3 linked regions of the Canis lupus familiaris genome follow. The protein of the gene in region 3 interacts with the protein of the main gene of each other region in a pairwise test. Links are inferred from orthologs where the notes say so. Each region holds a gene or a part of one and is shown on either strand. Other genes may lie near its edges.

Region 1 (10,118 bases), on a different chromosome or scaffold from region 3:
CCAGCCTCCTCACCGCCCAGGCACTCTGCAGCCTGCCCGTGGGTCGATCCCACTGGCCTGAGTCTCCTGCCTCGCCCAGCAGCTCCAGGCCACGGGGCTGTCCCCTCCCTCCCATCTTCAGGGCTGCAGGGCGCTTTTAGCATCACGCCAGATGCCACTTTGGTAGAGAAACCGCATCAGCAGTGATGAGAGGAAAGAGTGGAGAACCAGCAGCACACGTCAGTGAGCTTGACCTCCATGGCAGACGTAGGATGGCTCCTGGGAGGGAAGTGACGTCTGGTGAATGTCCTGGGGTCACTTCCCTAGAAGAGCACCTGGGAGGGAAGTGACGTCTGGTGAATGTCCTGGGGTCACTTCCCTAGAAGAGCACCTGTTGTGACCTTTTCATGAGAAGACCTCATGAGGTGCATCTACTGGGTCTTTGTTCTGGGAAAATGCAAACCAGAATCCTCTTGTCATAGGGCGACAGGGCGCGAGTCACTGTGCTGTGTACTCAGAACTTCCACCGCGATACTCCATGGGTCGGTGGGCACCGCCTAGTTCGGGCTGGGATGCCCCCCCCCCATTCTTGGGAAACACCCGTCAATGAGCTGTGCCTCGCCAGTGTGGCTGCTCCACGGAGGAGCCTGGGGCCAGGGAGCGGCTCTGGTAGTCTCCATTCTGTGGCCGTTTTCGCTGAGGAAAGGCCCTGTGGCCTCAGAAACACCAGTGCCACGGGCTGGGGTGAGCGGAGTCCTCCGTGCTTCACGGGCCTGCACCGCCTGCTCCCTGCCTCTTGGCACTTGGGCTGTGAATTCCTGTAGCAAGAAGGAAGGAAAGAACCTGGAGAGGCAGGTCTCAGGTCTCACTAAACTCCTGCCACCGCTTGCCACACACACCGTGACTTAAGAAATCGAGCCCTTGCTGCCGGTCCCCGGAGGGGGTGCCATCGAGTGAGACCACACCTGGTCCCAGGGGCGCCACACTGCCACCGTGCATCCCTCGAGGTGAGGGAGTCGTGCTTGGTGACCACTTCACGCGCACTGGGGCCTAGCAGGCGGTGTCCCGTGAGCCACGGGAGTCCCCGCGAGGGAGACTGTGTGCCCCCTTCACAAATGAGGGAACGGAAGAGAAGCCAGGCAGTTAGACTGTGCAGGGCTGCACTGGCCGGCCAGACCCAGAGCGTGTGCAAATCACCTTGAGAAAGACCAACGCGTGTGAACAAGTCAGGAAACACGACTGAAGAGCAGGAGACCAGCCTCGGAGTCTCAGACGTGTGGTTCGTGCTGGGTCTGCCTGCGCAGCTCCGGAGCCGCCCCGCAACCTCACCCAGCGGCCCCTGGTCCGGACGGAAGTGCCCTTGACGAAGGGATTCTGAGGTTCACCCAGAGGAGTAAGCGTGTGGGAGCAGCCCGGGATGATTGAGAAAGAACAAGGTCGAGGGTTGCCCGATGTTCCAGGCGTGAAAGCATTTATAGCGCTGCGGCCACACGCCAGCGGCCCCGGGGTCCCTGGTGCGAGACCAGAGCCATGTGAGGGGTGGACTCGCCAGGCATCCCCTTGGTGAAGAATGAAGTGTGGCCCCCACCTCGTGCAGCACACCAAAGGTTTCTAGTAGATGGAAGATGCAGGTGTAAAAACATGAGGAGAGGGCAGCCCGGAGGCTCAGCGGTTTAGCGCCGCCTTCCACCCAGGGCCTGATCCTGGGGACCCGGGATCGGGTCCCACGTCAGGCTTCCGGCACGGAGCCTGCTTCTCCCTCTGCCTGGGTCTCTGCCTCTCTCTGTATCTCTCATTAATAAATAAAATCTTAAAAAAAAAAAAAACATGAGGAAGGAAGCCAAAGCATCCTGGAGAGTGTGTTGGCGATCGGAGCCCCCCTCCGTGGCCACAGCCGTAGGGGAAAATACTGACATGTCTGATGCACGCAGCTTAAGAAAAGGTGCGTCGTTTCCCACCCGAGTGGAACCCAGTGGTGCATACACACAAGATGGCAGCGAACACCAATGGATGCTCAACCTCGAGAACAATCCAGGGAACGCGGAGAGAACTCTTTCCTCAAGAGATCCACAAAGCCCAAGCAAGTGCTGCTGCGCCTGCTGCCAGGAGGTGTGGCCCGCGGAGTAGCTGGCAGTGTGGGGTGGTGGCCGGGCGGGGACAGGGCCTCCAGCGGGCCCCCTCGTGTCCTGCACCAGGCACGCCATGGCACGGGGCGCTGCGCCCGAGGTGACACGGATCTCCTGTGCAGTGTCTCCTGGCATAGAGCACCTGGCCCAGGAGCGTGGATAGCATGGCCCTGAGGCTGTCCTTTCACTGCTGGTGTTTCTCCCGGAGTTCTGAGAAGCATCCCAGCTGCGGACAGACGTTGCCCCAGGAGGGAGCAAGGAGAGAGGGTGCACCTGTTTGTCACTTAAATTCCTACATTAGACTCTGGAGAAGTCAAGAGACTGTAGTGTTCCTTGTGCGGGAAATGACCACGCAGAGTGGTAGTGTTGCACCCATCTCCAGCGGGGCAGCAGAGAGGCTTGGACCCCAGTGAGGGGGGCCCTGCCAGCCCACAGGCCCGCCGCCCCCACCACCTGCCCTCCCTCCCAGCAGCGGGCCCTCGAGCCTGGCCACCCTGGGCACCTGACCCACCCACGCACGCACGTGCACACACACACGCACACCAGTGCACACATATGCCACTGCACGTGCACACGCACACACGCTCTCGCCTTCCTAGGCCTCCCCCTCCCGAGGGCTGAGCAGGTGTGGGGCCTGGCACTGGGTCTCCCATCTTCCTGTAGGGTGGCCGTCCCCAGTGGGATTTGTCACCCACAGACCTGGTGACATCAGCTCGGGTTCCTTCTTGCTTTTCAACATGGAGATGGCTGCTCGGTGTTGCTTTCTTTTTAATGAAAATCTCTTTATTTTGTTGGTTCCAGTCACCCACTGACCTTTGTCACTTCCTTTCCCCCGTCTCTCTGTGCTTCGCTGGACACACCCCAGGGGAGTTCTCAGGTGCGTATCTGTCCCGTCTGTCTGTCTGCACCCCCCACGGCGGCGTCCAGCTGCAGTGGGGTGGCCTCCCTGGGGCACTCCCTGCTGCAGCCTCTCCCCTCCTGGTTCCTTTCCAGGCCACTAAGGCACACGTGCTTTTGCTCACCAGCCTACTGCCGCTCGGAAGCTTATTTTGGTTTGCTCTACTAGCCCACTGACCATGGCCTTCCCTGTCCCTTCAGAGGCCCACCATCCCCCTGTGCCATTCCTTAAGGTTCTACGGAGCCATGAGAAGCATAGCACAGTTGGGATGGGGCCGCAGGGCCTAGTTCTGTGGGTCTCCCCTCTGTCAGGTGCACCCCGGAAGTCGGGGGGCCTCACGCCCTAACACCCTAACGCCCACCCCTCCCAGCCCAGGACTTCTGTGTGTGACGTCGGTGCACTGCCCCGCCCTCCCCCCCCTCCCTGCACCACCAGGTGCCCCTGGCCTGGCGGTGTCCTTGCAGAGGGAGCGTCCCGCCTCCTGGCCCTCTCCAGGACGCACACACCCCCCCCCCCCCACCGAAGCCCTAGTGTCCCTCCGCCCTGCTGCTCACACAGGCTTAATGCGCTTGTCTTTTCTCCCTTCCTTCCCTCCCCCTGCCGCCCTGGTCGCCCGGCTCCCGTGGGACTGGGACGGCTCTCCTAGTGCGCCATGATTTCTTTGGTAAGGCCAAGGCCCCGATTCAGTTTGTGTTTCTCCCGTTCCTGGCTCCCCCTGTGTGCCTCACACCTCCTTCGGTGCTCTGAGCTGTTTGCTTTGCTCTGCATGCTGGGGGCGGCGGTGGGGTCCGCAGAGGCCACGGGATCTCCTGGCCCCTGGCTTTTGGGGTGGGGGTGGGGGGCTCGATCCCGACCCCCCAGCGTCCTCTCTCAGAGCAGACCCTGGACAGGCTGAGGGGGCGGGAGCACAGACAGTGGTCAGACCCCGTGCTGAGTACACCAGTGCGCCTCAGACCAGGGCAAGTGGGTATTAGGAACAGACCCCGGGCTGCTGGGGCTGTGTGTCCTCAGGCCGAGCGTCAGTACATGCGAGTTTGCGACGTGCCTGCAGAGAGCGTAGTCGGTGGGGCCCCCAAGTGGATCCCCCAACCCAGCTCCTGTAAACCAGGGTCGGCCCCTCTGGGCACCAACCCCAGGGAGCGCCGCCCTCCCTTCTGCTCCCTCCTCTGCCTGCTGCTGACCCCACCGCTTGGGGTCGGGTCCCACCAGCCCTGCTCCCTGCCCTGGTGGCGGGCCGAGCCATCTCCTTGGCCAGGGGCTCTCTGCCGTCCTGTGCTGTCACCACGGCTCCAACCGCTATTCTCCTGGGCCAGCTCTGAAAAGGGCTCAGGAACCCCAGGGCTCGGGGATACAGGGGGTGCTAAGAGGGGCCAGCAATTGAGGGGTCAGCTCACGTCACTGGTGAGCTGTGGGGGGTCAGCTAGGGGGGGACCCGCGCAACACCATCTGCAGGCTGCTCGCTGGCAGCACTGCTGGCCGGGCGCCCACCCAAAGACCAGCAGAGGCCTCTCCCCAGGGCCCAGACCTGTGGGCCTCATCCTCCTGTGTGCCCTCCCGGGGCCGAGGTCTGTTGCTCTGAGGCAGGCGGCGTAACCTCAGGGTCTAACTTTACCAGCACAGGTAACATCTCTCTGCCTTTTGTTTCAGGAATGGGCAAGGAAGTGGGGAATCTGCTTCTGGAGAACTCACAGCTTCTGGAAACCAAGTAAGGATGCCCTTCTCCAGGGTCACTGGGGTGGCTCAGCCCAATGAGCCTCCCAGGCTTGCTGTCAGCTCAGGTCGTAATCTCAGGGTCATGGGATCCAGCCCTGCCTGTGTCCCCCTCTGCGCTGGGTGTGGCTTCTGCTTGGGATCTGCCCCCCTCCCCTGCAAAAGGAATGCTGCCCTCCAGCAGGGAGGTTGCTGAGATAGCCCTCCCCCAGGGCCATGGCCGCCACAACCCCAGGGAGGACCCGGATCAGAGGGCTTGGCACACCCTCCAGGGTCACCGCCCTTCCCTGCGTTCTGCACCCGGGTGCCCTTCCCGACCCCTCGTCCCGGCAGGCCCCCTTCAGCCCTCATCGCTCCACATGCACAGTGGTTCACACGGACGTCCACACTTTCTGCCTTCTCCAAGAAATGCTCTGAATGTGGTGAAGAATGACCTCATTGCCAAGGTGGACCAGCTGTCTGGGGAGCAGGAAGTGCTCAAGGGGGACTTGGAAGCCGCCAGACAGGCCAAACTCCGGCTGGAGGGCCGCATCAAGGACCTGGAGGAGGAGCTGAGGAGGTGAGGGGTGGGCCTATGGGAGGGCGGGGAATGCCCCAGGAGGGGGTGGGGCTCCTGGGAGGGGCAGGGTGGACCCCAGGCCTCTCCTCCTTGGCGTCCCCTGGAGGGCATTGCCCCACGGGGGCTCCACTGGGGTGCTGACTGTGCAGCCTCCCCCTCCTGCCCTCACATGGGAGCACTCCCAGGCCCACCTACCCCCCGCCACCTCCCCCATCCTGCCAGAATCCCTCACCAGGCCTGGGTGTCTCTGGCAGCCTCTTACAAAGGAGGGAGGGGAGGGGAGGGGACCCCAGAGCTCTGGGGTGTCCTCCCCAGCACTTGGCACTTCCCTGTGGCCTTTCTCTTCTAGCCTGATGCTCGCCCCGAGGGGTGCCTATGGCTGCAGACTGGACAGGGGAGGTGTGACAGGAGGGCGGGAGGGGGGTGGCACCGCGCACGCCTGTGGGGGTGACCGAACCGCCTCGCGCTGTCCAAGCAGCTGGCCTGCATCCCCGTTCCCGGAAGCCCTGCTCCCCCGCTGGGGCAGCCAGGACGGGGTCGGGACTTCACAGCGCGTGTGAGCAGGGCAGTGGGCTGCTGGTCCCCAGGGCGTTAGGAGTGCTCAGGGCGCCGTGTCCAGCGGGGCCACCACCCCACCACCGTTCCCTCCTCATCCTGCAGAGTGAAGTCGGAGGCCATCATCGCCCGCCGTGAGCCCAAAGAAGAGGTGGAGGATGTAAGCAGCTATCTCTGTACAGAATTGGTATATTCCACTATTAACATGAGGGCATGGGGGGCGGGCTGCGCGGGGCGGGCTCCCAGGGGCGCCCATCTCTCCGGGTCTCGGGGCCCTCCTTACCCACCCTGTGTCGTCTCCTCCGCCCATCTTGGTGGGAACCCTGTGCAGCCACAGGTGCCCACGCCCCCTTTGGGTGCAAGTACGGTGCTGAGGAAAGCCCTCCACTCCTTGGGGGCTGGTCCGTGACTGTCGCAGGAGGGCAGAGGGGGACTGTGGGGGGGGGGCCTTGGCCCTCTCCCGCGGGGACCCCTTCTGGCTGGAGATGAGTAGTCCTCCACAGAAGGCAAGGCCTGACTCTTCAGCCCCAGGTAGATAGTGGACACTGACCACACCGCTCAGTAGCTGTTATTTTGGGGGGCACGTGATGCACGGATCAGAGTGCTTGCCATTTACTCTGGCTCGTCCTGCACACCCCCCACCCCGAGCACCCTAGAACAACACGGAGGTGTGGGTGAATTGTGGGGCTGCAGGAGGTGTCGATCAGGGCGGGTCTCTGCTCCCCCTGCCCTGTGCCAGCCCACGGCAGCCCAGGGCCTGGCTCCTGGGAGCAGACCTGGCCCTGCCTCAGCACTCAGAGCTGGCAGGCCCCAGGCAGATCTGCTAACTCCTGCAGCGTCCCATGTGGACGTACTGACCCCAGGTCCACTCACTGGACCTTCCCTGGAGCCTCTCTTTCTGAGGCTCCACCCGGTCCAGGCTCACCTGTTAATGCTCACTGATGGCATTTGGGGTTGCCCTGGTGTCCAGGGGCTTGTAAGAAAAGTTGCTGTGTTGTACCCCTTGAGCATATCATGTGACCCTCTGGAAGGTGACCCTTCTTGGGGTGGGTAGACCCCCACTATGTCTGGTCCCCTGCCCTCACCTTCCCACCGCGTTTGCCTGGACGGGGAGGCGTATCCATGCGGGGACTGGCCCACTCCGGACTGACCTGCTGGTGGCCCCCCCGCTGGCTGAACAGCAGTGCCCTCCCCTGCAGGACAAGATCCCCATGGCACAGCGCCGCCGCTTCACACGGGTGGAGATGGCCCGTGTGCTCATGGAGCGCAACCAGTACAAGGAGAGGTTGATGGAGCTCCAGGAGGCCGTGCGGTGGACTGAGATGATTAGGTGGGCCCCCGGGTCTCCTCTTGGACCTGTGCTCACTGTAGGATGCCCTGACAATGGGATGAAGGCGGATCCCCACCCCACCTCCCTCTCCCGCAGGAGGACTGGAAGGGGGACCTGGTGGGAGCCTGTCGGGGCCCTGTGCTGGGGCCCCTCCGGAAGTGGTGGTGGACCCACCCAGCACCCTGAGAAGGTCCCAGGCAGGGGAGGCAGGAGGGGCCCCTGCAAGGGTGGCACAGGGTCACAGCGTGGGTGGGTGTGGTCTAGGAGCAGGTCAGCCTGGGCGGGAGGGGGGGGCTGAGCTTGGCTCCTCCCCTGCCCCTCCCCTAGAGCATCCCGAGAACATCCGTCTGTCCAGGAGAAGAAGAAGTCCACCATCTGGCAGTTGTGAGTCGGGGGTGCCAGGGTGGGGGGCAGGGAAGGCTGCCCCTTGGCCGCCCCTCACTCCCCATGCCTCCACTGGCAGCTTCAGCCGCCTCTTCAGCTCCTCCTCCAGCCCCCCTCCGGCCAAGCGGTCCTACCCGTCAGTGAACATCCATTACAAGTCGCCCACCACAGCCGGCTTCAGCCAGCGCCGCAGCCACGCGATGTGCCAGATCTCGGCTGGCAGCCGACCTCTGGAGTTCTTCCCCGATGAGTGAGTGTCCCGTCGTCTCCCCCGCTTCTCCTGCTGGCCTGCACATGGGGGGTCTGGGGGGAGGCTGTGTGTGCCAGGGTCCCCCCTCCAGGCTCAGGCATGGAGGCCGACCTCTGCGCCCTCGCCCTGCGCCCCTGAACGTGACTGGGTATGCTGGCGGCAGCCCCCAGCCCCTGCCCTTGGGGACGTCACCGCAGCCACCTTCGGGTCGGGCCGCGCCCAGGCTGCCCAGCACACCCGCGCTCCCCGGGGATGCTTGGAGCCGACAGGAGGTTACCAGCAGGGCTGGGCTTCTTCCTGAGAATACCGTTTGGAATTTTGTGTTTTCCTTAAGTTTTGGTACCAAGATTTTGGCTCCAGGGCAGAAGTGGGGGATTGTGTGTCCCATGTCAGAAGACGGGACGTTCTCCAGGACGGGTCCAGAGGGAGGGCAGCTGCACTGTACGGTCCTGACAGCCAGCCTCAGTGGCTGTGCGGCAGGGCGGGAGCTGGATGGGGCGGGCAAGCTCCGGGCAGGGCGGCCCGCGGGACCCAGCGGTAAGTGACCTGCCTGCCTCCTGCCCAGTGACTGCACGTCCTCCGCCCGCCGGGAGCAGAAGCGTGAGCAGTACCGCCAGGTGCGCGAGCACGTGCGCAATGACGACGGGCGGCTGCAGGCCTGCGGCTGGAGCCTGCCGGCCAAGTACAAGCAGGTGCTGCAGGGGGCACAGGGTACAGGCGGAGTGGGGCGGGTGCTGGGGCCGGTGGGACAGCTAAGGGGAGCCCCCAGCCCCGGGCCTCGCGCCCACGCGGCCTCTGCCTTGTGATTGCAGCTGAGTCCGAACGGAGGCCAGGAGGACACGCGGATGAAGAACGTGCCCGTCCCCGTGTACTGCCGCCCTCTTGTGGAGAAAGACCCAACCATGAAGGTGAGCGCCGTTGGCCTGCCGAGAGGGTGGGCCACGCAGGGGAGCACGCTCACTGACCCCGTGGCCGGTCTCCCAGCTGTGGTGTGCTGCCGGCGTCAACCTGAGTGGCTGGAAACCCAGTGAGGAGGACTCTGGGAACGGAGTCAAGCCGGTGCCGGGCCGTGACCCTCTGACCTGCGACCGGGAAGTGGAAGGAGAGAGCAAGAGCAATCACACGTCCCCCGAGAAGAAGGTCAGAGCGGAAGGCAGGCCAGGGTCTGGATGACTGTGCCCAGCACTGGTGTGACAGAAACAGGACAGCTGAGGACAGGGCCACAGGCGTGGGCTCATCTGAGGTCCCTTCCCCCGGCCAGGCGGTAGAGCTGGAGAGGTCAGGCCCCTGAGGCGTCTCCCTCCCTGCAAGCTGTGGGCAGGAGCAGTGGGAGGGGCTGTGCCCCCCACTGACTTGGGAGGCAGGCAGCCAGGTACCAGAGCTCCGTTCTCAGTGGGGGTGAGGCGGTGGTGCGGCCAGGAAGTCCAGTCCCGGTGCAAGCTGCCCTGCTCCGCGGGAGCAGCGCCGCATCCCTTGAGGCCGAGGGCAGGCGGCCCCCTCAGAGAGCCCTGCAGGGGTGGGCCCCACAACCCGTGTGGCTGTGCCAGTGGTCCGTGCTCGGTGCCAGTCCTGCCCTCCTGTGCCCTGACACAGGCCAAAGAGCTCCCTGAGCCAGACGCCACCTCCAGCCGCGTGTGGATCCTCACCAGCACCCTGACCACCAGCAAAGTGGTCATCATTGACGCCAACCAGCCAGGCACCGTGGTGGACCAGTTCACCGTCTGCAACGCCCATGTCCTGTGCATCTCCAGCATCCCAGGTGAGGGCCAGCCCCACCTACGGGGAACCCGCACCAACAGCATGGGGCTCTGCACCACTGCAGACGGTGGGTGCGTCAGGAGGCCCACTGAGCCGCACCAGCCTTGCTTGGGTCCCTCTCTAGACACAGGAGCCCCTGGGGGCGTCCAGGGAGAGCACACAGGTGGTCTCGCCCCTTAGTCTTATGAACAACCAGGAGAAGACCCCAAGGTGATGCTCGCCTAACCAGAAGGAGATGGGTTGGGCCTCGGGACAGACTGAAATGCGGCACTGACCATGGACCTGCTGGTGGGCCCAGTTCCCACTGCCCCACTGCAGCAGGGGGAGCTGGGCCAGTGGAGGCTTGGCTTTGCCTCTCAGCAGCAAGCCCTGTGCTAGCGTCTAGGGGTGGCCAGGCGGTGGGCAGGACAATGGCCCCAAGCTCCTCAGAGTTCTTAAGGTTTTGTCACATGATCACAGTTGTCTGCTCCCAGAGCCCAGAGTCTCACTACTCCATGCCTCTTGCTGGTGGCTTTCCAGGCCTGCGGGCGGTGGTTGTGAGCAGGTACCCACGTGTGCTGGGGCCACTC
Region 2 (9,060 bases), on a different chromosome or scaffold from region 3:
CTCCATCTATAGGAAGATGTCAGAGTCGCAACCCTCTCCTTGGCGGACTTCTCCAGAAGGTGAGGCCTGGCCTGGATTACTGTGGATTTAGGGAAGTGGAAGGCTCTGGTTCTGGTGATGTTGGGGACAAACAGACTAACTTCCTCTTCTTCAGGGAGCAGAGCTCTGCGGCTGGACACCTGGGCCCCACAAGCTTCAAAGATGCAAGCCCGCCCCCCAGTGGCCACAGGTCAGAACTGCAGCCTAACCACGCAGCCTGCACCTTCCCAGGCCTCCAGGCCAAGGGGCCTAGGCAGCATTGGCCCGCTGCCCCCCCCCACCTCCCCCCAGCCACCACCTGTCTCTGACGGCTTCCTGCGCCCAGGTGAAAGAGAGGTGCCAGTTCTACTTGAACAAAGAAGCATCATAGTGCCACACACATGCACAAATGTGGATAAACCTCTGCCTTTTTTATTCTGGTTTTAGAAATAAGGATATGCGTTCAGTGAGGTCAAATAACCCACTCAAGGCCAAGCTTGTGTCAGTCCTGGGGCAAGTCTCATCCACCTGATGCTCGGTTTTCACCTATTAACTGCACATCAGTGACCCAAGCCGCTTTAAAACAAAAACAAAAACAAAAACATAATCATGCCCTCAACCCAGACCTACTGAATCTGAATCCCTTAGCGTGGGATTTGTTCCTGAGGATGGGAATGCATCCTCAGCATGCCTCCCCAGCAAGATCAAGTGTGCTTCTATACTGATAGCAAGGACCAGAGAACAGGACTGTTACCTCCCAGAGGCCAGAGACATGTTCCAGTCATTTTGGAAATTCCTGTACTGGCCCATAAAAAGTGGTCAATATTATTTATGAAATGAATGAGTGGATGAACAAATGATTCTGAGGTCCCCTCTGGCTCACAGTCTTCCACACATGCACACAGACCTAGACACGCACATACAGACACGCAGAGGTACAGACACACCTAGGTGAAGGGAGACTCAGCCTGGCACCCTGCAGGTGGCTCCAGCTGCTCAGAACAGCCTGACCCTCCCTTCCTCACACATTTGTGCACACCTCCTTCTTCACTTGCCTGCATTTATTGTGCACTCACTGAGTACCTGGCCCGGCCCCAGGCCCTGGCCAGACACCTCTTATGGTCTCGGAGGGTCAGCCCCAGTTGGTGGAGTTCCAGGCCACGGGGCTGGTTACAAACACAGAGGGAGGAGGCCCCCCACCCTCTAGCAGGAAGGCCAGAGAGGCAATGCGTCAGCCAGCAGGCGGCAGACAGGCAGCAGAGGCCCCTCTTGGCGGGCAGCCTGCTCGCACACTTGGCTGAACAGAGACAATGGTGGCTGCTCCTCCAACCCAGCCTCCTTCCCACAGGCAGAGTCTGAGGTCCATGAGTGTCCGGAACCTCCCCCAGAGCCCAGCTGGGAGGCAGTCAGAGGGCAGCACAAGGGGACTTCCCAGGGAGGGGAGCAAAGCCCCCTGTGAGCTGGTGGGGGGAGGGTTCTGGAAGTGGCCCTGGCACCCCTCTTGGGAATGCAACTTTATGGGATGGGGTGTGTGGAAGGGAGCCAGGCTTCTATCTGGCCTTCACAGCTCTCAGCTCCTTCCAAGAGAGCCCCCCGGGGGATGTGTCACATCTTGCCCCTCAGCCCTCTCCTAGGGTCTGAACCTGGAGGACCTCCTTCCCTGCTCTGGAGAAACAAAGGCCCCTTGTTCCCAGGGCTCTCCACAGAGCTCTGGAGGCTCCAACCCCTTCTGGCCCTCACCGACCACCAACGGCTCTGCTCTGATGATTAGCAATTGGGTGTGTGAGGTGGGGCCTCCTTCATTTGCCCCTGGTGCATGGATGATTGTACACAAAGGCCCGGGGCCCAAGAATCAGCCTCACTGAATTTGTTCTTGAAACCCTGCCCTCCCAAGGCCTACCTGTCAGGGGGCAGGGCTGAGCCACCCTGCTGTCACCTGAGGATGGCTGGGGTCTCCCAGGACCTCTCACCACAGGTCACCAGACTCCCAGCACAAGACCACCCTCAGGGCTATGGCTCCACTGGTTTGACTGCCCAGAGGCTTCCGCTGCCTCAGCCTCCCTTCTGGAAGCTCAGAACCCAGGAGTACTCTGAATTTCAAATGAGTGCTGAGCTGCCCCCAGGAGTACAGCCAAACTCTTATCCATCCTCCCCTGAGAGTGAGCAGGGACTGGGGCAGCTGGGGGCCAACCTGGGGGTGGGCACAGAGTACTAGGAAAGTTCCAGTGAACAGGGAGGGAGGATCACAGAGAAATCAGGGTTGTCCTTCAGTGGAAAGGGGAAGGGCCTCATCCCCCATCAGGGACCCACTGAAATGAGGCTCCTCCGTGGGGTCTCATCTCAGGTCCACCCCGGACACGTGGTCAGAGTCTGTGAGGTAGCACCAGCCTCACAGCTGATTGCGGTTCCTCTTGGGTATGATCTTCCGGTAAGTTCTGCGCTCTGAGATGTTGCGCTTCACCTTGGCAGTGGTGGGGGCCTCCTCCTGGTGTAGCGACGGGCTGGAGTGGGACTTCTTCAGGCTGGGCTTGGGCTCCTGAGTGCCTCCGGCTTCCCTCCCCAGGTGCTCTTCCCACAGGTCCAGGTCATCTGAGGAGCAGTGGAGACGGGCCACCAGCAGCTGCACATAGGTCTCGTAGCGGGTTTTCTGCAACACAAGGGACCCGCCACCTTAGTACCACCCTGGCTCCAGGGCTGGAGAAGGCTGGAATCATGGGGGACAGACCACTCACAGTGAACAAGACTCTGGTGGTAAAGATTTCTGCAAAAGGAGTGCTGGGCCAACAGCCAACATCTGTACTGAGCTTGACTTTGTAGACTTTGCAGGACACAGCAGCAACGTGCCCAAAACGTGCAGTTATCTGGACAGTTTTACAATAACACCTACCAGCCCAAGCTTGTTCTAACAGCCACCACCTTGTAATGCTGTAACTAACGCCTCCAGAACACGTTACATCTCTGAGACACTAAAAGATCCATAACCCACTAGGCCTGATCTGTGCAGTGCTGCACACAAACAGCTCACATCTGTACTGAAGCCTAATTGAGTCTGAATAGCATTTTAACAATTGGCATCTGGAGAGTGGGATGCTAACTACCCTCATCTGTTTAACTCTCCGAAGGCCTCCATAACTAGCAGCTTTCAGATGCGGGTGGGGTCCCAGTGTACTGAGTGTATGCTCATCCTCCACCCCACCTGATCCTCAATCCCAGCTCTGGCTGACTGGGTGACCAGGGAATCGTTTTCTCCACCTTATAAAGAAGGGAATGAGATCTAGGGAGGGCCAAGGGCTTGCTACAGGTTGCAGCTGACCATAGGCAGGGAGAGGCTAGGATTCTGCAGGCAGGGATGGGTCCTGTCACCCCAGAGACTCTGGGAAACGGTGCATCCACGGCTGAGGACCACCTACCAAGCTAAGGGATGAGCCAAAAAGGCAGGGAGAGGGCAGTGTGAGACCTGGTGAGCACAGCCCAGGATGACACGGATGCTTCCTTCTCTGGTCTCTGCCTCTGGATGGCTCTGATCCTCTCTGTCCTCATACTGCCCCTCCCCTGCCCCTCTTGGCTTCAGATCCCAGAATGTGTGCACTGACCAGAGGCCTAAGATGTAAGATGAAGGAGGGAGGGTAAGATGCGGGGCCAGGGGATAAAACAGTGCGGCACAGATCAGATTATTCCTTAGTTAAGACTATGAGGCACGGCCCTGCCTGGAATAGGATGTGAATTCATCAAGTTTGGAGAAATTGTTTAATCTTTCCCTGCCTGCTTCCTCATCTGTAAAGGGAGGATGACGGTCCCTACCTCAGAGTTGTGAGACGCCTAAATAAGATAATACCGGCAAGTATTACAAGCTCTATAAATACCGTCTACTAGTACTAGGTAGGTATTAGGGAAAATAATTCAACTAAAATACAGTTTTCCCTTCAATTTAGGTAAAGGCGAATATAGTATACTCTTAGGTGAAAGTGATCAAGAGTCCGCTGGAAGAGTTTGCAGACCATGCCAGGTGCCCCCAGGGCAAGGGAAGGGGTCTGCGTGCACAGGGACACGCACCGTGCACAGGGCGCTGCGGGCCGCCGAATGCGGCCACGAGAGGGCGGCAGAGCGCCGCACCGAGGCGGGGAGGGGGAGGGGGAGGGGGAGGGGGAGGGGCGGGGAGGGGCGGGGACTCAGCGCCGGACCTCATACTCCAGGTACTCCTTCCGCAAGCGGTACTCCTCCAGCTCGCGGCCGCGGCCCCGCCTCTCCGGGAGGTTCCGCTGCAGGTCGAGCAGGTCGTCGGAGGCAGCGTCCAGGCAGTTCTCGTGGGATCGGTGCTGCTCCTCCTGGGGGCGGGCCGGAGGGGAAGCTGTCCCACCGCTCCGCCCGGGCCCCGATGCGCCGCGCAGGCCACCCCATCCCCTCACGCCGTTCCCGGCCCCGGGTGCTCCCGGGCCTAGGTGCTCGTGCTCGTGCTCGGCGCACCCGCTCCGGCTCGCCAGGCCCGGGGCGCAGCCCCGCCCTCCCCTGGCCCGTCCCCTGGCCCGTCCCCTGGCCCGTCCCCTGGCCCGTCCCCTGGCCCGTCCCCGCCGGGCCGTACCAGCGTGCTCTGGGCGGGGCCCACAGGCAGGATGGGCCGGACGAATCTGCGCTGGGAGCCCACGGCGGCAGGGAAGGGCGGCGCCGAGTGCGTGGCGGCCGCCAGGTTGATGCGCGCGATCCAGGAACTCATCTCCTTCGCGGTGCTGAGGGCAGAGGAGGCCGTTAGTCCCCAGGGTGACAGAGTCGGCCCCGTCCCTCTCCCCGCGGCCTCCTGCGGGCTGCACAGTTCCAGACTCTCGAGACCCAGAGCCTCAAAAAGCCAGAAGCCGGTCACCAGCCCAGGTGGCTGACCTCTGCGGGTGGTTTTTATCATCTGTCAAAGAGGAAAATCTAGGAAAGCAATGGATTTTAGATCAAATGCAAAAAAAAAAAAAAAAAATCAGTGGCTAGAGGCTTTCCTGGGATCCTCTGTTCATAAGTAGGAGGCTGGCCCGGGGCTTCCAGGGAAGAGGCCCCTGCAGTGGCAAAGTGGGCAGGGTCAGAGGAGGCCTCAGGTGCAGCCCTAGGACCCCTGCCGGCTGCGGCGGTCTGATGTTCCGGGTCAAGAAGGCAGTTCCCGGGGATCCCTGGGTGGCTCAGCGGTTTGGCGCCTGCCTTCTGCCCAGGGCGTGATCCTGGAGTCCCAGGATCGAGTCCTGCGTCGGGCTCCCTGCATGGAGCCTGCTCCTCCCTCTGCCTGTGTCTCTGCCCCTCTCTCATTAATAAATAAAATATTAAAAAAAAAAAAAAAAAAAAAGAAGGCAGTTCCCACCAAGGCCCCAGCCAACAGCCATCAGAGGGTGAGCGTGAGATCAGGGAGAGGAGGGCCAGGGCCTTGCTGCTTGGCGGGCACCCCCAGGGACTTACGGTGCCTGGAAGAGGTAGAGGCGCCAGTCGGCAGTCCGCAGCTGGAAGACGTGCGGCTTCTTGGTGTAATGGGTGGCCGGGGTGGCCAGTGAGTGGTGCACTCCCACCGGCTCGTCCACCATCTGTCCCACCAAACTCTGACCACTCTGGCAGTGGTCCTCTCCCTGCCACAGGGCACAGGGCCTCAGAAAAGGGGTGCCTATCAGTTGCCCACCCTCCAAACCATTCTGGTTCCCCACCCTGCCCTTCCTACCTTCAGGAAGTAGAGGACCATCCCTCGAAGCAAGGTGTGGAACATCTTCCAGCCACGCTTACCCCACGGTGCTGCTCCAGGGGTAGAACACAAAAGCAGGTGGTGGCACCCCAACCAGACACATGCAGTCCCCTCTCCCCGCCAACTCAGTCCCTCCCCAGGGTGCACATAATGAACACACAGTGACGTACCAACACAAGAAAACAGTCGCAAACAAGCAGATGCCATGCCTCACACCCAGGCAATCTTGCTTGGACCGCACAAACGACAACAAAACCAGATGTCCACACCGACCATCCTCCCTCCAAACACTCCCACCCGCAAGCACAGTTCCACCAGACATCTTTCTGGTCCCATCCAGAGAGTCACAGGGCTCAGGTTGTCATGCAGTAGGTGGCCGGCTTCCCCGGGGTCGCCTCCCGGCCTTGCTTAGGCCCAAATGCTAGCTCCTGGCTGGTCCCACACCCCATCCAATCCAGGATTCCATTACTACTCTGGTCCCATGGCTGCCCTGCCCTAAAGCTCCTGTCTGCAGAATGAGGCCAAATGCACCCCCTGCCATTCTGTCACACCCCTTCTATTCCCAGCAAACCATTCCTGCTCCTTGTCTGAGGGAAATGCCCTCTGGCCTCTTTTGCTCTGAGATTCAACTCTGATACCATCATTTCCCAGAAGCCTCACCAATCCCTGTCCCCCACATCTCACCCTCCAAACAAAATCAAAACCTAGCCCTCCTCCACACCCCCATATTTGACCTCCCCCTCCCTACACCCCTCAGCAATTTCTACCTTTTATCCCAACACTGATGTACTTGTCTCACCTCCCCCTTACCACAGAGGTCCTGGGGGCCAAGGAGTACCTAGGTGTGTCTTGTCTCTGCACCCCCGCCCCCTGGCATCTTACCCAGCACCCAGCACATGGTCCCTATCAAGGAAGGAACACAGGCTGCCTGTCCTTGACCTGCACCATCTCTCTGCATGCTGGCACACACTTCAGCTCATGTCCCTGTGCCAAGCTACTCTGCATGCCTGTATGCACACACACTCTGGTTCGGTGGCAGACACAAGCCCCACACACTCAGCACAGCAGACACTCACTCTTCTTGCCATCCGCATCGTGATGCATCTTCCGAGCCAGGATGCCCTGCTTGTAGGTGGGCGCCGTGGGGTTCTGGGCCAGCTGGAGGAAGGGGTTGCTCATCTTGCCAGAGGGGAGAGACAGCTGGGCCTTTTCTGGTCTGCCTGCGTTGTCTTCGTCCCTGGGCATCAGAGAATCAGGTTGGGGGTACTGACTGGGTAAAAGCCACCAGGAGGGGCCCTCAGCTTCAGCACCTTCTACCTTCTCTCTCACTGGAGAGCCATATCCCAGGACCCCCCAAAAGGAGTCCTTCAAAGCCAGCTATTCCTGTCATCCCTACTCCCCACGGCCCCTGGATCCTCCAGGTATTACCTGGACTCCTCTAGCCTCTTTGAGATTGGCCTCTGTCTGGACCCCACACAGAGGCCCTGGGCTCCTCCAACTCTCAGGTGGGTGGGTGGATGGAAGGAGGATAGGCCCAGAGGCAGGGGAGAAGGGGGGGGAGTAGAAGGAAGGGGAGTCTTACTTACACGGCCCATTCAAGCTTCTCACTTCGGATAGACCAGTAGAGGGCCTAGAATGGAAGTGCACAGTGAGCAGGGAGCCTCTGCCCATGAGGCCCAAACTCAGACGTAGGACAGGGAAAAGCTGCAGTCTGCCTCTTCCATCCCCTTCCTCCTTGACCAGGAGGCAGCTCATCCATGCATCCATGTCCTCATGCATACGTGCAACCATTTATGGAGCGTTCACTGTGTGCCAGGGACTGTGCGAGATGCTGCACGGTGATCAAAGCAATCCTGATCCCTACCTGAGATTCATGAGGCCTGAGCTAGTTCTCCTGAAAAGGAAATGAATCATCCACATACCATCCTGGCCCAGAGGGATCTGACAATGCAGGAACAGCTGACTAACAGGGCCAAAATATGGATGGTGGAAGAATGAGTAAATCAGTGCTGGAACTTGGAAATGATGCAACAAAGAGTACTCGTGTCCATGCATCTTGCTGGCCTTTGTAGCTCTAGCGATGCCTAGCATCATGCCAGGCACACGGCAAGTGTTCGAGAAGTGTCCATCACAGAGACGAAAGAATCAGTGCCATCATAGCTTACTAAAAAGCAGGCTTGTGCCCCTTGTCATGCTAAGCACGACAACCTTTATTTCATTGTGATAACCACACTGTAAAGCAGTCGCTACTCCTGGAGGAACTTCAGCAGCCAAGCTGCCTAAGACTAGAAGAATTCAAACCCTAGAACACGCAGCTCCTAAGTCTTAGACTTAATGCCACTTAAAACTTTGCCTTGGTTCATTTCTGAGAACCAAAGAAACAAAACAAAACAAAACAAAATCTCAGTGAGTCTCAGATTCCCCATGTCTCAGAATCACCTGGAAACTCAAGAGAACATTTTAGGGATCCTAGCCCCAGAGATTCTAATTTAGTCGGTCCAAGGCAAGGGGCCTATGAATTTGCACAAGCCAACAAATTTTAAGGTGCTGCTGCTGCTGACTAGGATGCACACTTTAGCACCTTCCATAAACAAGCCTTGGCCTCCCAAGGACTTTGCAGCAGAGCCAGGCCCAGGCGGGGCATCCCCCCCCAACCCCCCCACCCCCCCCGGCCGGGATGAGGAGCTACACAGGGAGCCCTGGCATCATTATCCCAGTGAGCCACCAGCTCCCCGTGCCTTACCTTCAGCAACTCCTTGGGGAAGTTCCCGCCATCTCGCAGGCCATTCAGGTTGGTTATGAATTCCTGGCAACTCATGCTCTTCCCAATGTTCTGTGGCCATTGAGAGAAGTGGGACAGCTGACACACACTCCCCACCCCAAGAGAATAACCCCCTAGCCGGCCACTCTGGAATCTTCTCCAGTTCTCCAGACCTACTCCTCCCCTACCCCCAACCCCCAGTTCTCCAGACATAACCCTGCCCCCACCCCCTGGGGCCCTTCCATGCTGCTGGTCCCAGCTCCCTTGCCCTCTCACCTGTCCATGCAGGTCCGTGTTAAGGAGCATGATGGCACAGGTCAAGGTGTGTACAGAATCTGCCCCAGAGGGAGGCAAGTGGAGAGAAAGCTCGTTGGAACCAGGACTCTTGCCTTTCCACTGCCGATGCTGGGTGCAGCGACGCCCAAGTGCTTCTGGTTCTCCACAGCCACCCAAATACTCCCACGAGCTGCTACCCAGTGTACTCCTGAGCAGACCCCTGGGGACACTTCCATGCCATTTTCCCAGGCACCACAGAACCCCCTGCCCTGCCCTCAAGGCCTGCCCCTCCTACCTGCGGAGG
Region 3 (10,118 bases):
CCTGTCTCCTTGGTTCGGAGGACCATAGGGCATGGTGAGTAGGGCTTTGGGCTCCACACAGCGGTTAACAGGAGCCAACACTAAACCAATAAATGTCAGGAATTTCCTCACAGAGCAGATGCTCAGACCTTGGGGCCTCCAAAGTGAAAGCCTCAACATAAAAGTGGACTCACTCTGGCTGCTGGTCCCCAAGTTCAAGACAAAATGCAGAGACCACGGAGGTCCCACTTGTCTCAGCTGGATGTGGCGAGGAGGCAGCCTGGAAATGGGGTAAGGAGCTCGGGGCTCCCGAGGTCATGCAGGGAGGGGGAGAAACATGGGTTTAAACCCTCGCTCTGCCTGGGCAGCTGTGTCATCTTCAGCAAGACAGCTGACCTCTGTGAGTCTGTTTCCTCATTAAAAATAAAAACAGTGAAGACAGTAGCAGCTGCCACCTCACAGAGCTGTGAGGACTAAACAGAAGATCCCTTAAAATCCATCACTGAAAGAGGCACATGGTAGGTACCCCAAAATGGCCATTTCCCTCCCCACTCTGGTCACAGAGAGCCAGTCCCCTTGCCCTTCCCCTGGGTTCTCTGATCACCAGGCTCCAAGGACTAATTCCTACAAGGGTCCAAACCCTCAGACCATACTACTGACAGGAGAGACTCCCCCGACCCCACGTTGGCTTGCCACCGCCCACAGGCCAGGCTAGCCAGCCAGGGCAGCCCACAATGACAGACTGCCCAGTGACTGCAGCCTTACTTGGTGCTCTCACCATCCACGTGGGGTTCCCAGGAATTTCATACTTCCTATTAAGTGACATCACCTCTGGGTCCTGCCTCCCCCCAAGGGCAGGGCTGCTGAGGCAAGGCCAGAGCCTGCCAGGGACCCAGGCCCTCCCCACTGACCATTTTCCGTTTGGTGCAGAGGAAGGCATGGCACTCGAGATTCTCGTTGTGCTGGCTCTGTGCAATGTAGGCAAACACTTTGTCGTGCATCTTGTCTGCTGTGCAATAGGAGATCCTGAAAGACAACAGGGGAAGTGTCACCAAACCTGGCACAGGGGCCTGCCCACATCTGGGGTGCCCCATAGGGCATCTCCCCTGAGTCCCTGAGAGCCAGCCATCCTACTCCACCAGGGGGAGACTCTGGAGATGGCTTTGGCCTCTGGGACTGGCATTCTGGGCCATCGATGGGGGGCACCCAGGCTAGGCAAGAAGGAATGCAGGGAAAGACAGGGTACTTCCCCTCTTTACTGAGCCATACCCCAAAATGGTAATGGCTATGCCCTTCCTGCATCCCAGGCAACATTTTAGATATGACTTCACTTAATTCTCAGAGCTGCCCTCCAACAGGTTCTATAATTGTCCCCACTTTGCAGACGAGAAAACTGAAGCTAATGGTCTCAGACCACCAAGCTAGTGGCAGAGCTGAGAACTGTACTCACCTGTGGATTCCAGAGGCTATAACCACTGTCAGGCTACCCTTAAGGGTCTGGGCTGACCAGACGGAAGGGGAAGCAGGACACCACCCTGCCCACCGATGCCCTTCACCAGGCCTTCCCTCCCTGCCCTCCATCCATGCCCCTGCCCAGAGGTTGGAGGAGCTCTAGGCCCTCTCTCCCAGTGTGACTGACACTGCTGGCAAATTGTCCCAGAGCTGTGGTCAGAGGTGGAGGAGCTGGGAGCAGGGTGAGTGTGTGAAGATGACTGGACTGGGAGCCCCAGCCAAACCAGGAGGGATACACAGCAATCCCCTCTTGGTGGAACACGTGCCCCCATGCCCCCTCATTTGCTCCTTCCCTGCTGGCTGCTCAGCCTGGGAATCTCAATTAGGAGATGGGATGCCTGGGTGGCTCAACTCTTGAGCATCTGCCTTTGGCACAGGGAGTGATCCCAGAGTCCCAGGATCAAGTCCCACATCAGGCTCCCTGCATGGAGCCTGCTTCTCCCTCTGCCTATGTCTCTGCCTCTGTGTGTGTGTGTGTGTGTGTGTGTGTGTGTGTGTGTGTCTTTCATGAATAAATAAAATCTTTAAAAAGAGAGGGGGGGGGGGGACTGGCAGCCCAGAGGTGGGACAGGAGCTCAGCTAACTCCTTCCCCCAGTGTGGCCCCAGCTCCTATCACAGCCATGAACAAAGGGATCAGCACCACTTAAGACCCCCAGGCCAGCAGCTACCTCTTCGCCATCCCAGGGAATCCAGCCTCCTGCCACCTCCCTGGGGCAGGCCTTGCTGGGTCCCCTCAGGCAGGCCCCTCCTTCTCTGCCTTCTTGGGAAATATTATACCCTCCCTCCTATTTCTTGCCCTCCATGTCCTCCCTGCCAGCAAGGGCTGGGTGTGAGCCCTCCCCTAGTTAAAGGAGGCAGGCACAATCAGGAAGGTGAGAGGAAGACACCAGCCAGAAACTCTAAGACCAAACCCCGCCCACCCCCACCCCTCACCTCTCCAGTACTGGCTTGTGCTCCAGTGGATTGAGCCAGTGCTTGGAAACAAAGCAAGAGGGTGGAGGGATGCCCAGCAGCTGGGTGCCCACTGGACAGAACTCCAGCCTTGGTGCCCTGGTCCCACCTCAGCTACTACCTCACTGTGGGGCCTTGGGCAACTCCCCGAGCCTCAGCTTCTCTGTCTGTAAAATGGACTGTCCCTTCCAGCACTGAAATCCTACAACTGACCAGCCAAGGGAGGGAACGGAGAGAGCTTGAGGTTTCAAGGGCTGGGCTCTGCTTCCTTGAAAACAGTGCCCACCCCCATACCATCCCCACTCTGGCCTCAGACTCTGCCTTGAGGCCTCCCTGAATGCCTGGCCACATGTTCAGAGCTGAGCTGCTGCATTCACAGTGGAAGAAAAAGGCAGAGACTGGGCAGCGCTCTGCTCCAAGCCTGACTCAGCAGCCCGCCTCGGGAGGGGCAGTAGGGAGGGGGCCCTAGCCCTGACTAGAGCTCAGCTGCCTACTTCAACTAGAAATAATGACAGCAGCAACTGCCTTCTACCAAGTGCCCACTGACAGCCAGGCACTGTGCACTCAGCACTTCCTAACAGCACAAGGAGGCAGCATCTGTTTCCAACTGCACAGACACACAAGGAAACTGAGGCCCCAAGGTCAACCAGAAGGAAAGTGCTGGAGCCTGGATTCAGAAAGGGTGACCCCCCCCCCCAACTCCAGCCCCTGCACCACTAACCCAAGTGGCAGAGTGAATGTGGGCAATGCTGAGCATACCTGTAAATGGACACGTTCTCAATGAGCTGGTTGGTGATGTTGTCGGTCAGGATAATCCCCCGTGGCGACACCTTGAGAGTCACTTTCTGCAGCTTCTTCCCGCTAGCCTTGGCCTTGGGGTAGATGTGGGTCAGAGAAGCCTGCGTGCCCCACTTGGGACCTATCTCATGGACTGCACCTAGCTTGTCCAAGCCCCAGACTCGGGGCCCCAGTGAGGCCTCAATGTAGAGACAGCAGACACTCTGGGGAGGATGGAAGTCCGCACTCTCCTGTAATAAACTCAGGGCAGCTGCTCACAGAGCACCTGCTGTCTGCCAGGCACTGGACCTTGAGTCATCCTTATAGGCAACAGAGCTTCTCCTGGGGGAAATGGACTCAGAGGTTAAAGGACCTGCCCCAGGACACACAGGAGAGACCGCAGACTCTGAGCACTGACAGGGCTATCACAACCCAGCAGGATCACTCCTGGGGACTCCCCACTCCACCCACTACACGTGTGAAGGTCTGTGTGGAGGGCTCCAAGGCCACCAAGGAAGGTGTACTTCTAGGGCCATGCTTACTCAGGATGGGGAAGCTAGGGACTAGGGACGGGGGACAGCTGGTCTCTGGTGGGTTACCCTGTCCCTCAAGCCAGAGGGCAAGTGATTGGGTAACAGCTTGGCACTAAGTCACCAACCCTTAGGCAGGGGACCTGAGTTGGAGGAGGGGAGGCTGGAAGAGGCCATGGCCACAAGAGCTGGAGAGGAGGACACTGACCCTGACCCCACAAGCCCAGTGGCTCCCCTCTACCAGAGTCCCTAAGCTGGATGCAAGAGAACTCAGGGGCAGGAACAGCTCAGATGAATCCAATCAGGGTAATAAGCAGGGGATGAGTGGTACCTCAAGAAGCTGGCCCTTGGCTCATGGCTCCCCCACCCTGCCTGGGGCTCACCGTGGCCACAATCCTCTTGACAGCAGCAGCTGACAGCTCCTCACCCTTGGGCTGCTCCACCAGCGTCATGCCCAGGTACTTGAGGCTGAAGAGCATTCCCTCGAGCAGTGTCTCCCGAGTGTCTGTCCAGTTCTCTGGCAGCTCTGGGCAGGAAGAAGACAGGTCCTCAGACCCTGTCCTCCCAGCCCCCACTTCCTAGGGAAGACGTAGCAAGGGGCATTCGGGTTCGTCTATCTACCATTATTTTTACCTATAATAAAGAACAAACATTTTCCAGTACTCACCAAGAACCACGCTAAGAAACCTTATATAAAATAGCCTCATTAAGTCTTACGACAATCTATGAGATAGACACTTTTATCATACCCACTTACAAAGACACTGAGGCCTGGGGAGATAAAATCACACAACCAAGTCCACAGAGCCAGCCAAGTATAAGAGCCAAGATCCGAACCCATATTTTCAAGTTCAAAGCCCAAATTCAACTTCAACACTAATGCTTGCTGAGAGCAAACCATGCTTTTTTTTTTTTTTTTTTTTTTTTTTACTGAATCTTCTGCACAGTCCTGTGACATGGATGTTATCCTCACTTTATAGATTAGGAAATAGGAAACTGAGGCTCAGAGATGCAAAGTCATCAGACAAAGACCACATACAGTGAGTAAAAGGTTGGGAGTTAGGCTCAACCTGGGTGAGCCTCCCAGGTTCCCACTCAAACCTGGGTGGCTCCCAGGGCCCCAGCCTGCTCTGCTGCCCTCCATCTGCACAGCCCTAGAGAGGAAGAGGCAGGGAGGAGGGGGACCAGGAAAGAGGTGGTGATAGGGTCGGGCAATGGGAGAGGTGATTGCTCAAATGACATCCTATGAAGGCTTCCTGAATCCAGCTCTGCTTCCCACCACCTTGCACGTGTTGGGGAAGTCCCTTCCCCTCTCTAAGACAGTAATGCTGAAGCAATGACACAGAGCAAGGCACATGGAAAGGTCCTCTGAAAACTCTGGCCATGACAGAGATCAGGAAGGTTGGGAAATGGGAGAAAGAGCCCAGCTCACTGGGTAGGGAAACAGATGGAGAGAGAGAGAGTTGGAAAGCCCCTGCCTCATTCATCCACATGAGAGAGGGCCCTGAGCAGGCAGGAGGGCATGTGTGGTTTTCATCAGTGGTTTGAACAACCCCAGGATCCCTCCCCAGATCATTCAGCTGGAAGCAATGAAGCCAGAAGCGGAAGAAAGGTCTCTAAGGACCCTTCCAAGACCGATCACCAAGACAATGAACACCCCATGCTCCTGCCTGTCAAGGCCCTTTGCCTGTCCTTTATTATCCTTTCTCCGATGCTGCAGTGTAGGAGGTACTAGGATTGTACTTTGAAGAGGAGGAAACTGCTCTTTAGCTGCACACAATCTTGGATAGGGCAGGATCCATAGAGGAACCAGTTTCCAGGGGCCACCACGGCCAGGGCCAGCTTCCCTGGACCATTTTCTGAGAGAGGAGTGGAGAGAATCTTGTGCTCCTCCAGAGGCCCTCAGTGGCTGTAATGGAAGAGCCACAGGAAGAAAGCTTAGGAGTGGGCATCAATGGTGCCAGGGCAGCTGAGGTTCTGAGCTGGCACAGCCTGATTCTGAGGGTCCTGCACTATTGGGTCCAGGTGGCAGCACTGGGCCCCTCTCCCTTGTCTGGCCCATGCTGCCCCTCCTAGCAACTGTCTTGGGAGTTCTACTCCTCCCGGAGCTCTACCTCCCTCTGCACCAGTCAGAAGGAGCCTTGTATACCCACACCTCTCTGGCTTTGACTTGAACAAGCCACTGTCCCTTTCTGAAACTACTTCCTCCTCTGAAAAATAATGCACGTATGTTGGGTGAGGGCTGTTTTAAAGAACTTACGGGTGTACCCAGTCCCCGTTTGAGATCCAGGTGAGCAGGGACTTGTTGACTGGTCATCCAGAGTCTGGCATGTAGTTGGCACTCAGTATTTGCTGAGTGAAGAAATGACCTGGACAACTCCAAGGGTTCTTTCAGCCTTGCAATGTCTCAAACCCCATCCTTAGCTCCAATCTCCAGCCCATTGCTCTCTAGCCCTTGAACTTGGGCCACCGACCCAACATGAGGCCCAGCCCCCACTGAGAAGACCCTCAAAGTGACCCTATCCACTGCTATATCAATCACGAGCCTACTTCACTTGATCCTCCAAAAAAGAATCAGAAAGTCCCTGAGGTGTCCCAGTTCTGGGATGGGTCCCGGTGAAAATCACATCTGAGCCTTGCTCTCAAAGAAACCAAACACCACCATATTACCAGTGCAGAACAGAGCTAGCGAGCAACAAAAACAACAATAACAAAGCAGCTCTTACCATTACTTCTAACATTACAGTACTTTGCAGGCACACATTCTTTCATTTCTGTTTCATAGGAGGGAAGGGAGAGTCAAAGGACAAGTAACTTGTCACATTAGTTGTTGTCTGACTGTAAATAAAGCCCAAGCTCCTGACCAGTAGCCCATATAATCTTCTCATGAGGCAAACTACCTTGATTTTAGCAAAAGGTCAGAAAGAAGTTCCTAAAGCCAGAGATACTTCTTCCCACAATTCCTAATTCCTGAGGCTTCCCCTCAGTGGGTACTCAAACTACCACTCTCAACCCCAGATGCATCTAAACTACATGCTGCAATGCCTATCGCTAATGTCCTTGACAGACATTGCTAATCGATTGCAGCTCTATTCCCTCTGATTTACGGCTTTGGACTGTTTCTCCATATAAGGCTCCAGGCAGGCAATACCAATCAATCAGGGGTGGCCTCCTTCATCTAATTATCCATCCCTGCCCTACAGCAAGCATCCTTCCTCTCTGCCATTTTCGTGTCCCCACTACCCCATTTCCTCTGGTTCAGTTGGCCCCTCTCCAAAGCCACTTCCGTTCCTTCTATTCCAAAGGGCCAAAGCTTGCCAAGGTCACAGATGACCTCTTTGCTGTCAAAACAATCCCCAGTCCTCCCTGACCTCTGAAATGCTTAGCATATTCTGCATTCTTCCTTTTCTGGCCTGACCCCTCCCCTATTCTGCGGCCTCTTTCATGAGGGCCCTGGTAGACTGGTTACCACTCATCAGCCTTGGAGACCCTCTGCCCCAACTCCTCACATGACAGATGACGAAACTGAGGCCCAGGGAGGGATGGGACTTGGGTAAGATCCCACAAAGCAGAGCTTCACTCCCACACACATACCCCAACCCACTAGAGGCAATTCTGACTACAGGCAATGACTACTGGGGAGTCACAGGTGTCCCAGTCTTCTCTCCCACAATATCCCTGCATGCACATACTCATTCACACGCACCTGAGCACACACAGCAGAAGCTGCAACCATGTAGAGTCTCTTCTTCTTTCCCACTTCTGTAGCTTTGCTTAAGGAGTTCCTTCTATCAGAAATGCCCTTTCCTTTATTTGATTGAAACCCCTTGCATTTAGCCTCATCCAGGCAGCCTTCTTGAAGGCAGGATAGCCTGGCTGTTAAGAGCAAAGCTCTTAATCCTAGAATCCCAATTCTGACATTGTTTGAATGATCTTGAGCAAATTCATTACCTTCCCTGACCCTCAGTTTTCTCTTCCAATAATATGCGGGAAACAACAGTCTCAGGCTCACAGGGCTGCTGTTTTGACCCTTTGATGAGATAATGAGGTAATAAAACGTAATGTACTTAGCACAGGACCCCGCCCTTGGTCACGCCTCCTGATGAGGCCCTCTGTCAGAGGGTCGCTGTGCCTCTCTAGAGCATGGATTTCCTTCTCTTCCTTCTCCAGCCACATCACTCACAGCCAGCAGCTGCCTACCATGTGTCTTCCTCTTGAAGGACTCTTGTTCATGTGCGTCTCCCCCAGGAATAGAAGAAGGTGCACTCCTGTCCAGTGTTACGGCTCGGCCTCGTCCTTTTCCTCCTTCCCATTACCCTATCCTCCCGGCCCAGCAAGATCCTCCTTCCCCTCTAGGGAGGGAAATCTGTCTCCCCCTCCTATACTGTCCTTCTGGGCATGACTCATAAGGTCTCTGGTGCCCACACCCTCCCTGAAGAAACCTGCACCAAAGAGCACTCAGTATGACAAATGCAGAGTTTGTGTCTGCTCACCATCCATCTCAGGCTGGCGGCCACATGCTCCTTCCTAGGAGGAGCCCGGGGCTTTGGGAAGAGCTCCCAGAGGCCCTCAGGCAAACACAGGCCTGAGTCCACAGCCCTGTTCCGGTCCTGGTTATTTTTGGTCCTGTGGTGGGTAATGACTGCGCTATTTTAACTTAGCAATTTTACAGATGACCTGCTGTCACAGTTAGCTGGGGACGGACCATATGCCCAGTTTAACCCGCGGCAGCAAACGTGTATTCTTTCCTCATTAAGGCCCCCTGCCCAGGGTTTGGAGCTGGGCAGGGTGCCCTGTGCCCCTTTGGCTGCCCAGGAGACCCAGCCTGGCTGGTGTCTGGAACATCAAAGTTATAGCCAAACCCATGGGCCAGGGGGACCATCCAAGGGTCCTGGCCTCCAGCCTTTTCTAGTCTGGTGGGGAGGTGGCCTCAGAAGCCACAGAGTAACATCTGAGAAGGCAACCCGAGCCCTGGCATGACCTGGAATGTAGCTGCTTCTCTAAGGCCACAGTCTCTGACAAATGGGTTCAGTTCCTCAAGAACATCATCAGAAACAGGTTCATCATGTAAGAAGTGCCAGGCAAATTCAGAAGTTGTTAAGATTATCAAAAGAAAATAATTAAAAAATGATGATAGCGTAAGCTCTCATTTCCTGGATGGCTACTTACTCTGTAAGAGAAAAACATGCTTGTAAAGGTTAAAACTATGGGGTCTGGAGATGGGCTATGGGGTTCAGGCACTCCATCCACCTCCCTGGTCCTCCGTTTCCTCACTTAAAAATTGCGACAAGAAGCTTGTCCACCGCACAAGGTTGTTGTGAGGATGAAATGAGTTCACACCCGAGGTGGGCTTAGAACCATGCCTGGCACATACTGAGGGCCACTGAAGTGTGAGCTACTGTCATTACCCAGGGTCGAGGGCTAAGAGCTTGAATGTGCACGCAGCCATTTACAATATTTTTGAGGAGAGGCAAGGATATATTAGGATTCCCACTTTACAGATGAAGAGGCTCGGAGGAGTCTGGCCATGACTCATAATTGACAATGCTGGTCTTTGCCTCCCACAGCCCCATGCCATTCGCCCACTCCCGCAACCCACCGAGCTCCTTCCCGTGTGAAGCAGGGGTCAGGATCACACAAAGGGATGGGCATCGTGTCCTGCATGCTTGCCTGAACAGGGTGAGCAGGGGATGACCTGACTCCTTCAAGGCACATATGCCTCCCTCGGCCGCCAGACCTGTGAGAAGCAGTGCCCCGGCCTCCAGTTCAACGTCCCCTGCACCTGCTGTTCCCTCTGGCTGGAAGGCTCTTCCCAGGTTCCTCCCTCCCTCCCTCACATGTGCTCCAAGTCACCTTCTTGGAGAGGCTCTTCCTGACTGCCTGCACGGACGCTCAGTGCCCCACTGCCATCCCCTCAGTACACACCATTTCCACACATGCCACCTCTGCCTGCAGCTCTGGCTGCCGGAGGTGTCAATGCCCATGCTCATTGGGGCATTAAGGACTCCCATCCCTGAACCCGCCACTGCCAAGAACTGCCCCTCAAACAGAATACCCGAAGAGCACATTCTCTACTGCCTCCCAAAGCTCCCAAAGTGCATCCCAAGGGATGGCACTCTGGTCACCCATGCTGGTGACTGACTTCATACTGTCCACTTTTTGGACTCTCTTCCCCTCTCACTTCTCCTAGAAAGATTTCCTGGGATCTCTTTCCAAATAGATTTTATCTGCACTCAGATCCTTCTCTCAGCACCTGCCTTCTAGAACCCAAAGCAAGATACTACTCTAAGAAAGGTCCCGCCATTTCCTCAGCCCACTTTATCCTTCTTCATGGCGTCACCACTATTTATCACCACACCTTTCATTTG

What was found.
Region 1: the proteins of LDLRAP1 (region 3) and MAPK8IP3 interact in binary tests that used the Homo sapiens proteins (3 or more experiments, as listed by UniProt). The two-hybrid records come from large-scale screens. The link is inferred for Canis lupus familiaris from reciprocal best matches to the Homo sapiens genes LDLRAP1 and MAPK8IP3.
Region 2: the proteins of LDLRAP1 (region 3) and PSD4 interact in binary tests that used the Homo sapiens proteins (3 or more experiments, as listed by UniProt). The two-hybrid records come from large-scale screens. The link is inferred for Canis lupus familiaris from reciprocal best matches to the Homo sapiens genes LDLRAP1 and PSD4.

Annotation. Positions count from the first base shown.
Region 1 is NC_049227.1:39,581,127-39,591,244, reverse strand, and holds part of MAPK8IP3 (C-Jun-amino-terminal kinase-interacting protein 3), read left to right. Parts: intron 1-2,970; coding exon 2,971-2,982; intron 2,983-3,649; coding exon 3,650-3,667; intron 3,668-4,650; coding exon 4,651-4,708; intron 4,709-5,119; coding exon 5,120-5,272; intron 5,273-5,932; coding exon 5,933-6,014; intron 6,015-7,026; coding exon 7,027-7,157; intron 7,158-7,484; coding exon 7,485-7,541; intron 7,542-7,620; coding exon 7,621-7,791; intron 7,792-8,356; coding exon 8,357-8,483; intron 8,484-8,603; coding exon 8,604-8,699; intron 8,700-8,775; coding exon 8,776-8,931; intron 8,932-9,384; coding exon 9,385-9,550; intron 9,551-10,118.
Region 2 is NC_049238.1:37,469,093-37,478,152, reverse strand, and holds the end of PSD4 (PH and SEC7 domain-containing protein 4), read right to left. Parts: coding exon 9,052-9,060; intron 8,816-9,051; coding exon 8,757-8,815; intron 8,553-8,756; coding exon 8,463-8,552; intron 7,350-8,462; coding exon 7,306-7,349; intron 6,957-7,305; coding exon 6,796-6,956; intron 5,770-6,795; coding exon 5,699-5,769; intron 5,610-5,698; coding exon 5,446-5,609; intron 4,743-5,445; coding exon 4,598-4,742; intron 4,344-4,597; coding exon 4,200-4,343; intron 2,666-4,199; coding exon 2,408-2,665; 3' UTR 429-2,407; downstream 1-428. UniProt on the Homo sapiens protein: Guanine nucleotide exchange factor for ARF6 and ARL14/ARF7. Through ARL14 activation, controls the movement of MHC class II-containing vesicles along the actin cytoskeleton in dendritic cells. Involved in membrane recycling.
Region 3 is NC_049223.1:73,746,446-73,756,563, forward strand, and holds part of LDLRAP1 (low density lipoprotein receptor adapter protein 1), read right to left. Parts: intron 4,277-10,118; coding exon 4,134-4,276; intron 3,316-4,133; coding exon 3,203-3,315; intron 1,006-3,202; coding exon 891-1,005; intron 1-890. UniProt on the Homo sapiens protein: Adapter protein (clathrin-associated sorting protein (CLASP)) required for efficient endocytosis of the LDL receptor (LDLR) in polarized cells such as hepatocytes and lymphocytes, but not in non-polarized cells (fibroblasts).